Rattus norvegicus: one gene and its partner. The protein of the gene in region 1 purifies or fractionates together with the protein of each later gene. This does not show direct contact. Links are inferred from orthologs where the notes say so. Each region holds a gene or a part of one and is shown in the gene's direction. Other genes may lie near its edges.

Region 1 (4,247 bases):
GTGGCCCTCTTTCCACCCTGTTCCCACTCCCTCCACTATCTGCCAGCGCAGACACCCCCGTGGAGAGGTCAAGGCAGAGCCCAGTCTCCAGTCCCCGGGCACAAGCGTGCATGGGTTCTCCTGCTTCTATCCCTTCATCTTGGCACCAGGGCCAACCACTTCCCAGCTCCACTGAGCTTCCTCCTCAGGAGATCCCACCTATTCCTCACAGGAGAACAGGCTACAGTGAAGAGGGAGCCAGAATCAACCAGCCATGAGAGGCTCGGGAGAGCTACCCTTTGACTTACAGCCGAGAATGACCCAAGCCTTCTTGACTTCAAAGCCTCATCCCTGGTCCTCCCCTCCTCCCCATGGGCCAGGAGAAGGGCAGCCCCTCCCCTCTCCTCTCAGGTGCCACCCCTGTGCTTACAGCACAGCAGTTCTTTTTCCAGTGTCACCGTTTGACAGTTGAATCAGAGAAGTGGGAGGAGGAGAGAGGATGTGGAATTCAAGTGCTGGGGCCCAGGAAAGCTTTTGGGGAACATTACAGAGTGAAGGAGTCTTGCAAGCAAGCATGAACCACAAACCAGTTGGGCTGAGGGCCAGTGAAGGGCCTACCAAAGCCAGGCAGGGGTGGGGGACTGTGGAGTCTTGAACTTGGAGACCGTTCCCTCCCCACACCCCAAGCATCCAAGTGGCCCTGTGGTGAAGAGGACGTGAGACGTCTCTGATGTGAGGGCCACAGCCTTCGACTATCTGTAAGTCTTCAGAGGAGTTACAGGGATCTAAGACACTCCCAGAGGGGTAGTCAGGGGGGTTCCTATGGAAGCAAAACCCAGAGTCTTCTCCAGTTTACCTCTGTTATTTATTCTCTGGTAACTAGCCTATGCCTGCAAGCTGAGGGACTGGGGGCCAGGAGAGGACCTTTCCTACCTAGCCCTGGCCTCTTCTTTTTATCCCCTACTGCACCTCTGTGACACATCTGCTCTCCTTGGGGGCCTGGGTTTGGCCATGAATTCCCAGGCTTTGAAGCAACAAGAGCTTACAGGGACAGATGCTGAGAAGTGGAAATAAGTCTCCAGCCAAGGTCACAACCAGAACAACTGAGGGTTCCCCATGGCTATCTTCTCAGTAAAGAGGACCTGAGGGTGGGGGTGAGCACACGACTAGGATCCGGAGGAAGGGGCCTGAGGTGGTCGGGGAAGGCCTCATCCCTTGTCCATTCCCAGAGCCTCAGCACCCAACGAGGATGGCAGGACAGCACCAGCTTGCTCTTGGAGGGCACAGGGAGGATGCACCCGACCCCTGGTGGCAGCTTGCAGCAGGCGCAGAGGGGCAGCCCGCAGCTGGGTGGTGTGCGTGGGTGGAAGCCAGGAGGGGCGGAGGGAGGAAGCTGGCTTCCTGAAGCCTCTCAGTCCTCAAAGATAGACGGACTGACAGACAGCTGGCAAGAGGCAGCCCTGGGGACATAGCTGCTTCAGTAAGTACTTTAAGTGGGTACAGACATCCCAGGACCCTGGGGTGGGAGGGGGTCTCCAAAGATGGGGTGAAGAAGCATGAGTTTGGGGCTCCCATGCCTGGCCAGGGCATGAGAAGTGACATCTGGTGTCCCTGTGGCTGGAGGGCAAAGAAGCCACACAGAGTGCCAGCAGAGGAGAGGCTAAAGGCCCCTTCCTGTTGTGGGCAAGTACTGTCCCAGCCACACCTGCACCGGCCCACACTGTTCCCAAACCTCTGTCCCTGTGGGTTAGCAGCTCTAACCCCACCACCATAGCACCCACGACCTAGCTCTGAGAGACAGGGACTGCCCCAAAGGTGATGCTCTCATCACCTCTATGGTCCCTCTCCCCTGCACCCCGAGCTGTAGCCTCACCATGCGCTGTCGCGCTCTAGGGCTTAGTGAGGCCATTTCCTGTGACGGTTACAGAGGCGGGAGAGTGGGGGATGGGAAGGAGGAGGGAGGAAGCACCCCTGGCCTACTGCCCTGGACAGAGACCCCATGAGCCACAACTGATCTTGGAGCGGAACTGGTAACTGTTAGAAGACCCTCCCAGAAGTGCATCGTGCCTGGATCCCCAACTGGCTCCAATTCTACTTGAGGCCTCAGTTTCTCGTTATAGAGAAGTCTATAGCTGGCTAGACTCAGAGAGCTGCCTTCCTTCTCTGTGGTTAGCAGGCTGCTGGTCTCATGTGGACCCCAGCTTAGAGCCCTGTGGTCTTGGGTATCCTCTCTCTTCCTTCTTCCGGATTCTTCCCTGTCTTCCCCCATACCTGTGCTCTCTCTATATCTTCCTCCTAGTCTAACCTCAAATTGTCCTCTGTCCTGCGTCCCAACAAAGAGCTGCTGTACTTGTGGGATAAAAGTTAGGCCACTTGCTTGAGGGGATGGCTGGCCTCCGCTTAGAAGCCTTCTTCTAGCTAGTGAGGCCTGTGGGACCTTGTCTTTCAGGCAGGCCTCATGGCTGAGTGAGCCTCCCTTGGGCCCAGCAACCTACCCCAGCATGGTCCAGGCCTGTGAGGGGCGCTCCAGAGCACAGCTGCCGACCTTGTCTTTGGGGGCAGACATGACTCAGCCTCCACCCGCCAAAGCTCCAGCCAAGAAGCATGTGCGGCTGCAGGAGAGGTGAGATCTTTCACAGAGAGGGTCTTCCTAGGCCTGGGTTGCCTTCCCTTCCCTTCCCTTCCTTCCTTTCCAGTTCTAACAACAGAATCCACAAGGCCTGGAAAAACAAAAACAAACCAAACCAGACCTAAGGAATGCTCATTCGAACGTTGCTTGCCCATTCTTTGTGTGTCTGAGGCACTAAGTTTCACGTCATCCCTGGGTCTGCTCCCTAAGGTTCACATTGTGATCTCTGGGACACATCTAGGGGCCTTTGTGGAGTTGGGCGTGTGTTGGAGCCTCTGTGCTGGCTTGCAAGTAGGAGAGAGAGACAGCAGGAAGGAGGAAGAGGGCTGCAGGCCGCTCTACTCTTATCTGATAAGGGAAAAGGGGAACGTAGTAGGGGCCTGACCCTTGAGTGCCCTGGGCCTCTAGGTCAAGAGAAAGACCAAGTGAATCCACCTCAGACAAACTCCATGAGGAGCTTGCAAGCAGAGCAAATGCTACGGGATGTTCACTGGGTTGGCTGTGCTTGCAGAAGGGGCTCCAGTGTGGCTCTGATGCTGGATGTGCGGTCACTGGGCACTGTCGAGCCCATCTGCTCAGTGAACACACCCCGTGAAGTCACCCTGCACTTCCTGCGCACAGCCGGGCACCCCCTTACACGCTGGACTCTACAGCACCAGCCTCCCAGCCCCAAGCAGCTAGAAGAGGAATTCTTGGTAAGAATTTGGGGTCCTCTCCATATCACTTTACGCTTCCATATCAGACCATGCTGGGTTCCTTGGGCCTCTCTTCTCCTTGGGGTCCTTGGGGAAGAATTCCGGGGCTCAGGAGAGAAGGTTGTCCCCATCTTGGCCCTTCCTCTCTGTGTGCAGAGGGTGGAATGGGAGAAAAGGAGGCTGGAAAGGGGAACCAGAGATTAACTCATTTATCCCCCCACCATCAGAAGATCCCCTCAAACTTTGTCAACCCTGAAGACCTGGATATCCCTGGCCATGCCTCCAAAGACCGATACAAGACCATCTTGCCAAGTAAGGAGCACAAGGGAGGATGAGGGGGACAGTGTCCCTGGGAGTGAAGAACCTTGGGGGCTGGAGAGATGGCTCAGGGGTTAAGAGCACTGACTGCTCTTCCAGAGGTCCTGAGTTCAATTCCCAGCAACCACATGGTGGCTCACGACCATCTGTAATGGGATCCGATGCCCTCTTCTGGTGTGTCTGAAGACAGCTACAGTGTGTTCATATAAATAAAAATAATAAATCTTCTTTTTAAAAAAGTTATACACCTTGAAGCCAGGCATAGTGGTATATGCCTATAATAACTCTAACACTTAGAGGTTGGAGTAGAGGATCAGGAATTCCAGGCCAGTTTCAGCTACATAGCAAGTTCTGGGCCAGCTTGGTTTATAGGAAGCCTTGACAAAACAAAACAAAACAAGCACTGATTAAAAACCACCTCTCCAAAGCCAAGGAAGAACAATGCTTGAGACACTGTCTTTCAACAGAGAAATACTAATACCACACCCTGGCACCTCGGAGATAGACATCTGTTGCCCAGTTGCAAGATAGCGTTTGCAGAAGCTTACTGTGGCTGCACACCCGTGTGGTGTGAACTCACACAGACAGACCCGGGCCTAGCACCTCCAACTTTTCCTAGGCAGGCT
Region 2 (3,808 bases), on another chromosome or scaffold:
CTACATAAGACTTCTCCTAGGAAAGAGAAGACAGAGAAAGAAGGCACCTACAATGCACGTGTGCCTTTCTAATCTCTGTCTATCTATACGGCTTCCTTCTCACCTCCTTCTATACGGCTTCCTTCTCACCTCTGTATTTTCTTTACATAGCAAGGAGTAGTGGGTGTGAGTGTGGAGAGGTTAGAGTGCGTGTAGGAGGCTGCGCTCAGTTTAGGCTGGTGTGGTCCTTCAGCGGTCTTTCCTGGATCGGTATGTAACACCCCACTCCCCCCAACCCCTTCTGTTTCTAGGTACCTGGTGACCCATCTCATGGGGGCAGACCTGAACAACATCGTGAAGTGTCAGAAGCTTACCGATGACCACGTTCAGTTTCTTATCTACCAGATCCTGCGAGGGCTGAAGGTACAGGCAACGACTTTGTCACTTATCACTCTTTCTGTGTCATAAGAACTTAGGACAGACGGGTTTTCTTATGAGTTAACGATCAATCCACACTGCTGCTCTTGTATTTCCGAGGCCACGGTTTACTAGAAAGCAAATGCTATGTTGTCCTTCCCTTTGATCCTTTAGTCTGACTATCTAAGACATGGGGACTTTAGCCACACTGAAAAGTTAGTAGCATCTTGATACAGCCTGATGTCCAATCAGTGTGATACTGAGGCTTTAAAACATTCCTTTGGGCTGTGCGCTGCTTTTATATTCCTACTCAGGACTTGAGAGGCAGAACAAGAAAAACCACTGTGTGCAGCATAAGGAGTGCCAGCCACCAGGGCTGGGGTGGGGGGTGTCTCCAGAACATCCTTTGATGTTAGCACATCGGAACCCTTCCTGAGGTCAGAGGAAGAAAACAGGTTGACAGCTCCATCCCGTAGGTGGAGTGGGAATCCTAGTTTGTGTGACCCACTGTGATCCTGCACAGTGCTCGATGACTGAGGGGAACACTGCAGGTGTCTCGATGAAGTGATATACCAAAAAGCTGAAGATGGCTTTCACTCAACCAACTTTGTTCTTTTTTGCAGTATATACACTCGGCTGACATAATCCACAGGGTATGTATCGGACCTTAGGTGGGGATCGTTGTGGTAGTGTGGGTGGGGCTAAAAGAGTGGCCTCTAGTTCAGAACTCGGCCTTAACTGGGAACTGAAGGTGGGTACTGCAGCACTGCTCTCAGTGTAGACCGGCAAAGGAGCACTTGCTGTTTGCCTGCTCAAGGCTAATCTGTGTCAGACTGACTGCAGCTGGAGCTGCCTCTCTCTCTGGCGCTCTTCCACATGTGTGCATTGATGCACTTTCTCCGCCTGCTTTCCAGGACCTAAAGCCCAGCAACCTCGCTGTGAATGAAGACTGTGAGCTGAAGGTAAGGAAAGGAAGAGGAGGTGCACTGTTGGCTTCCTCGGTGTTCTCAGGATCCCGACCAGCCTCCCTTAGAGAAAGTGATGCATAAGCCATGGCTTGCTGTCAGGAGAGTCATTTGCCCGTAGGAATGTCACACTGAAACTTGAAGTGGGCTGAGTAGGCTGTTTGAGTAACTTTGGAAGCAGACGTCGGTGTCTTGTTTTCATTTTTAAAAGATAATTAAATCAGAAATATAACACGTTAATTGAAATAAAGGGATATTATAGTCTAAATGTCAGCTAACCATTCCTGCAACACTCATTATTAGATAGGTTTCTGAAAGGAAAAATTGCAGCTCTTTGAATGATCTAATCAGACCTGAGTAAATTAGCGATCTTTTAAAGTAAGTAGCGGGCTGGAGAGATGGCTCAGTGGTTAAGAGCACTGACTGTTCTTCCAGAGGTCCTGAGTTAAATCCCAGCAACCACATGGTGGCTCACAACCATCTGTAATCGGATCTGATGCCTCTTCTGTTGTGTCTGAAGATAGCGACAGTGTACTCACACACATAAAATAAATAAATAATTTTTTAAAAAGTAAGTAGCACTACACTTTTTTTAAATGAAATTTTTGAAATGTATGCAGGGGGCTGGAGAGATGGCTTGTTGTCCAGCACTGCATGGCGGTTCACAACCATCTGCATCTAGAGGATCTGATGCCCACTTTCTTTGTGTCTCTGTGGACACTGCACAGACTTGGAGCACAGATATACATGCAGGCAACACACCCATACACATAAAATTGAGAAGGAAAAAATGGACCTCTTCATAGGGTTTTAATATCCATGTGTTGTAACCACAGTTGTGACATATAACCTCCACAGCTTCAAAAAGTTTGAGTGTCCCTTCCTGGTGACCCATGGCCCTCACCCTTCACCCAGTGCAGGCAGCCACTGACCTGATTCTGACTGTGGGATTATCTCTTCTTCATACAAATGGAGCTGCAGAATCACAGTTTGTAGGCTGCCGTCCTGTTAGTCAGTGGGCTCTTGCCACCGTTGTGGTTAAGCCTATTGGTTTAAACAGGTTTACGTAGGCATAAACCTACATGAACGTCCACGTGGGGACCTGAAGTAAACTAGCGGGGGATGGCGTGCTTTGCTTGTGGCTTCATTTTAAAGTTTCCCGGACTGCTTACCGTGCGTTCTAAGTGAGGACTGGGCTGCACACTTCCTGAAAGTGTCCTGCTTTTCTTGTCCTGAAGTGGCAGGACTTGCTGCCCCCACGTCCGACTTCTCCTCTTGCCCTTAGATTCTGGATTTTGGGCTGGCTCGGCACACTGATGACGAAATGACCGGCTACGTGGCTACCCGGTGGTACAGAGCCCCCGAGATTATGCTGAATTGGATGCACTACAACCAGACAGGTACTGCTCCAGTCGCCTGCCCAGGCCTGGCCTGGATGGCTTAGCCTTACTTCTTAGGTCTTCACGTCACGCTCTGTGACACTGCCTTAGGGGAGTGGACGCTTAATCCTAACACTACATCTCCTGTTAGAGTGCACAATTTTAACCAGTAACAAAGTTTTGCCCCTTTATGAGTTGCTTGTTTCTCTTAATTATATAAATTCTGAGTTGCACGGCCTGTGGGTCCCTTCTTGGGTGACAGGGTTTTTTTTGTTTGTTTGGTTGGTTGGCTGGTTTTTTTTTTTTTTTTTTTTTTTTTAAGCTTTGTTTTATGTACATGAGCGTTCTATCTGCATGTACACCAACAGGCCAAAAGAAGGCACCAGATCCCATTACAGATGGTTGTGAGCCACCATGTGGTTGCTGGGAATTGAACTCAGGACCTCTGGAAGAGCAGTCAGTGCTCTAACTGCTGAGCCATCTCTCCAGCTGTGGGTGACAGTTTTAATAAGTTTATTTCTATAAAAAAAAAACGGTTGTCAACCTTTAAGTGTCTTAAATGCTGATTTGAATCTTTCACGCCTGGTTAGAGTCCAGTTTGTCCATGACTATGAATAGAAACTGTGTCTCTGCTTGTCCCCTCCCTACTATTCCAGTGGATATTTGGTCCGTGGGCTGCATCATGGCTGAGCTGTTGACCGGAAGAACGTTGTTTCCTGGTACAGACCGTATCCTTTAACACGTTTTGGCCCTGTTTCTCATCTGTGTGCTGTCTTAGATGTGTGCTTCCCTTACTCGTTTGTGGGGAAGACTCAGTTCTTTGCAGTTCAGGCATTGCTTTTGAGGTCTGTCCTCTTGTTGAGTGGCTCACCTTGTCAAGAAAAGGCTTTGGGGGTTGAAAAAACACCTGTCATTTTTTTGCAGCAAGTCTCTCTATTAATGAGTTTAGTCTGTCCCTGCAAATCCTTGGCGAGTGTGCATAGCCACCTGTACCTCAGAGGTATCTGGTTCCCACATTTGCTTATGCACTAAACAGACTGCTGGCCCCTGTGCTGACAGACACGCCTG

The links.
Region 2: the proteins of Ptpn7 (region 1) and Mapk14 purify together in Homo sapiens (affinity purification with mass spectrometry; 3 studies listed by BioGRID and IntAct, with this or other methods). This does not show direct contact. The link is inferred for Rattus norvegicus from reciprocal best matches to the Homo sapiens genes PTPN7 and MAPK14.

The regions. Positions count from the first base shown.
Region 1 is NC_086031.1:49,122,153-49,126,399, forward strand, and holds the start of Ptpn7 (tyrosine-protein phosphatase non-receptor type 7), read left to right. Parts: upstream 1-1,405; 5' UTR 1,406-1,459; intron 1,460-1,875; exon of another isoform or gene 1,876-1,923; coding exon of another isoform or gene 1,924-2,009; intron 2,010-2,428; coding exon of another isoform or gene 2,429-2,480; coding exon 2,481-2,602; intron 2,603-3,119; coding exon 3,120-3,303; intron 3,304-3,530; coding exon 3,531-3,615; intron 3,616-4,247. UniProt on the Homo sapiens protein: Protein phosphatase that acts preferentially on tyrosine-phosphorylated MAPK1. Plays a role in the regulation of T and B-lymphocyte development and signal transduction.
Region 2 is NC_086038.1:6,789,215-6,793,022, forward strand, and holds part of Mapk14 (mitogen-activated protein kinase 14), read left to right. Parts: intron 1-290; coding exon 291-402; intron 403-1,019; coding exon 1,020-1,049; intron 1,050-1,310; coding exon 1,311-1,358; intron 1,359-2,646; coding exon 2,647-2,761; intron 2,762-3,396; coding exon 3,397-3,468; intron 3,469-3,808. UniProt on the Homo sapiens protein: Serine/threonine kinase which acts as an essential component of the MAP kinase signal transduction pathway.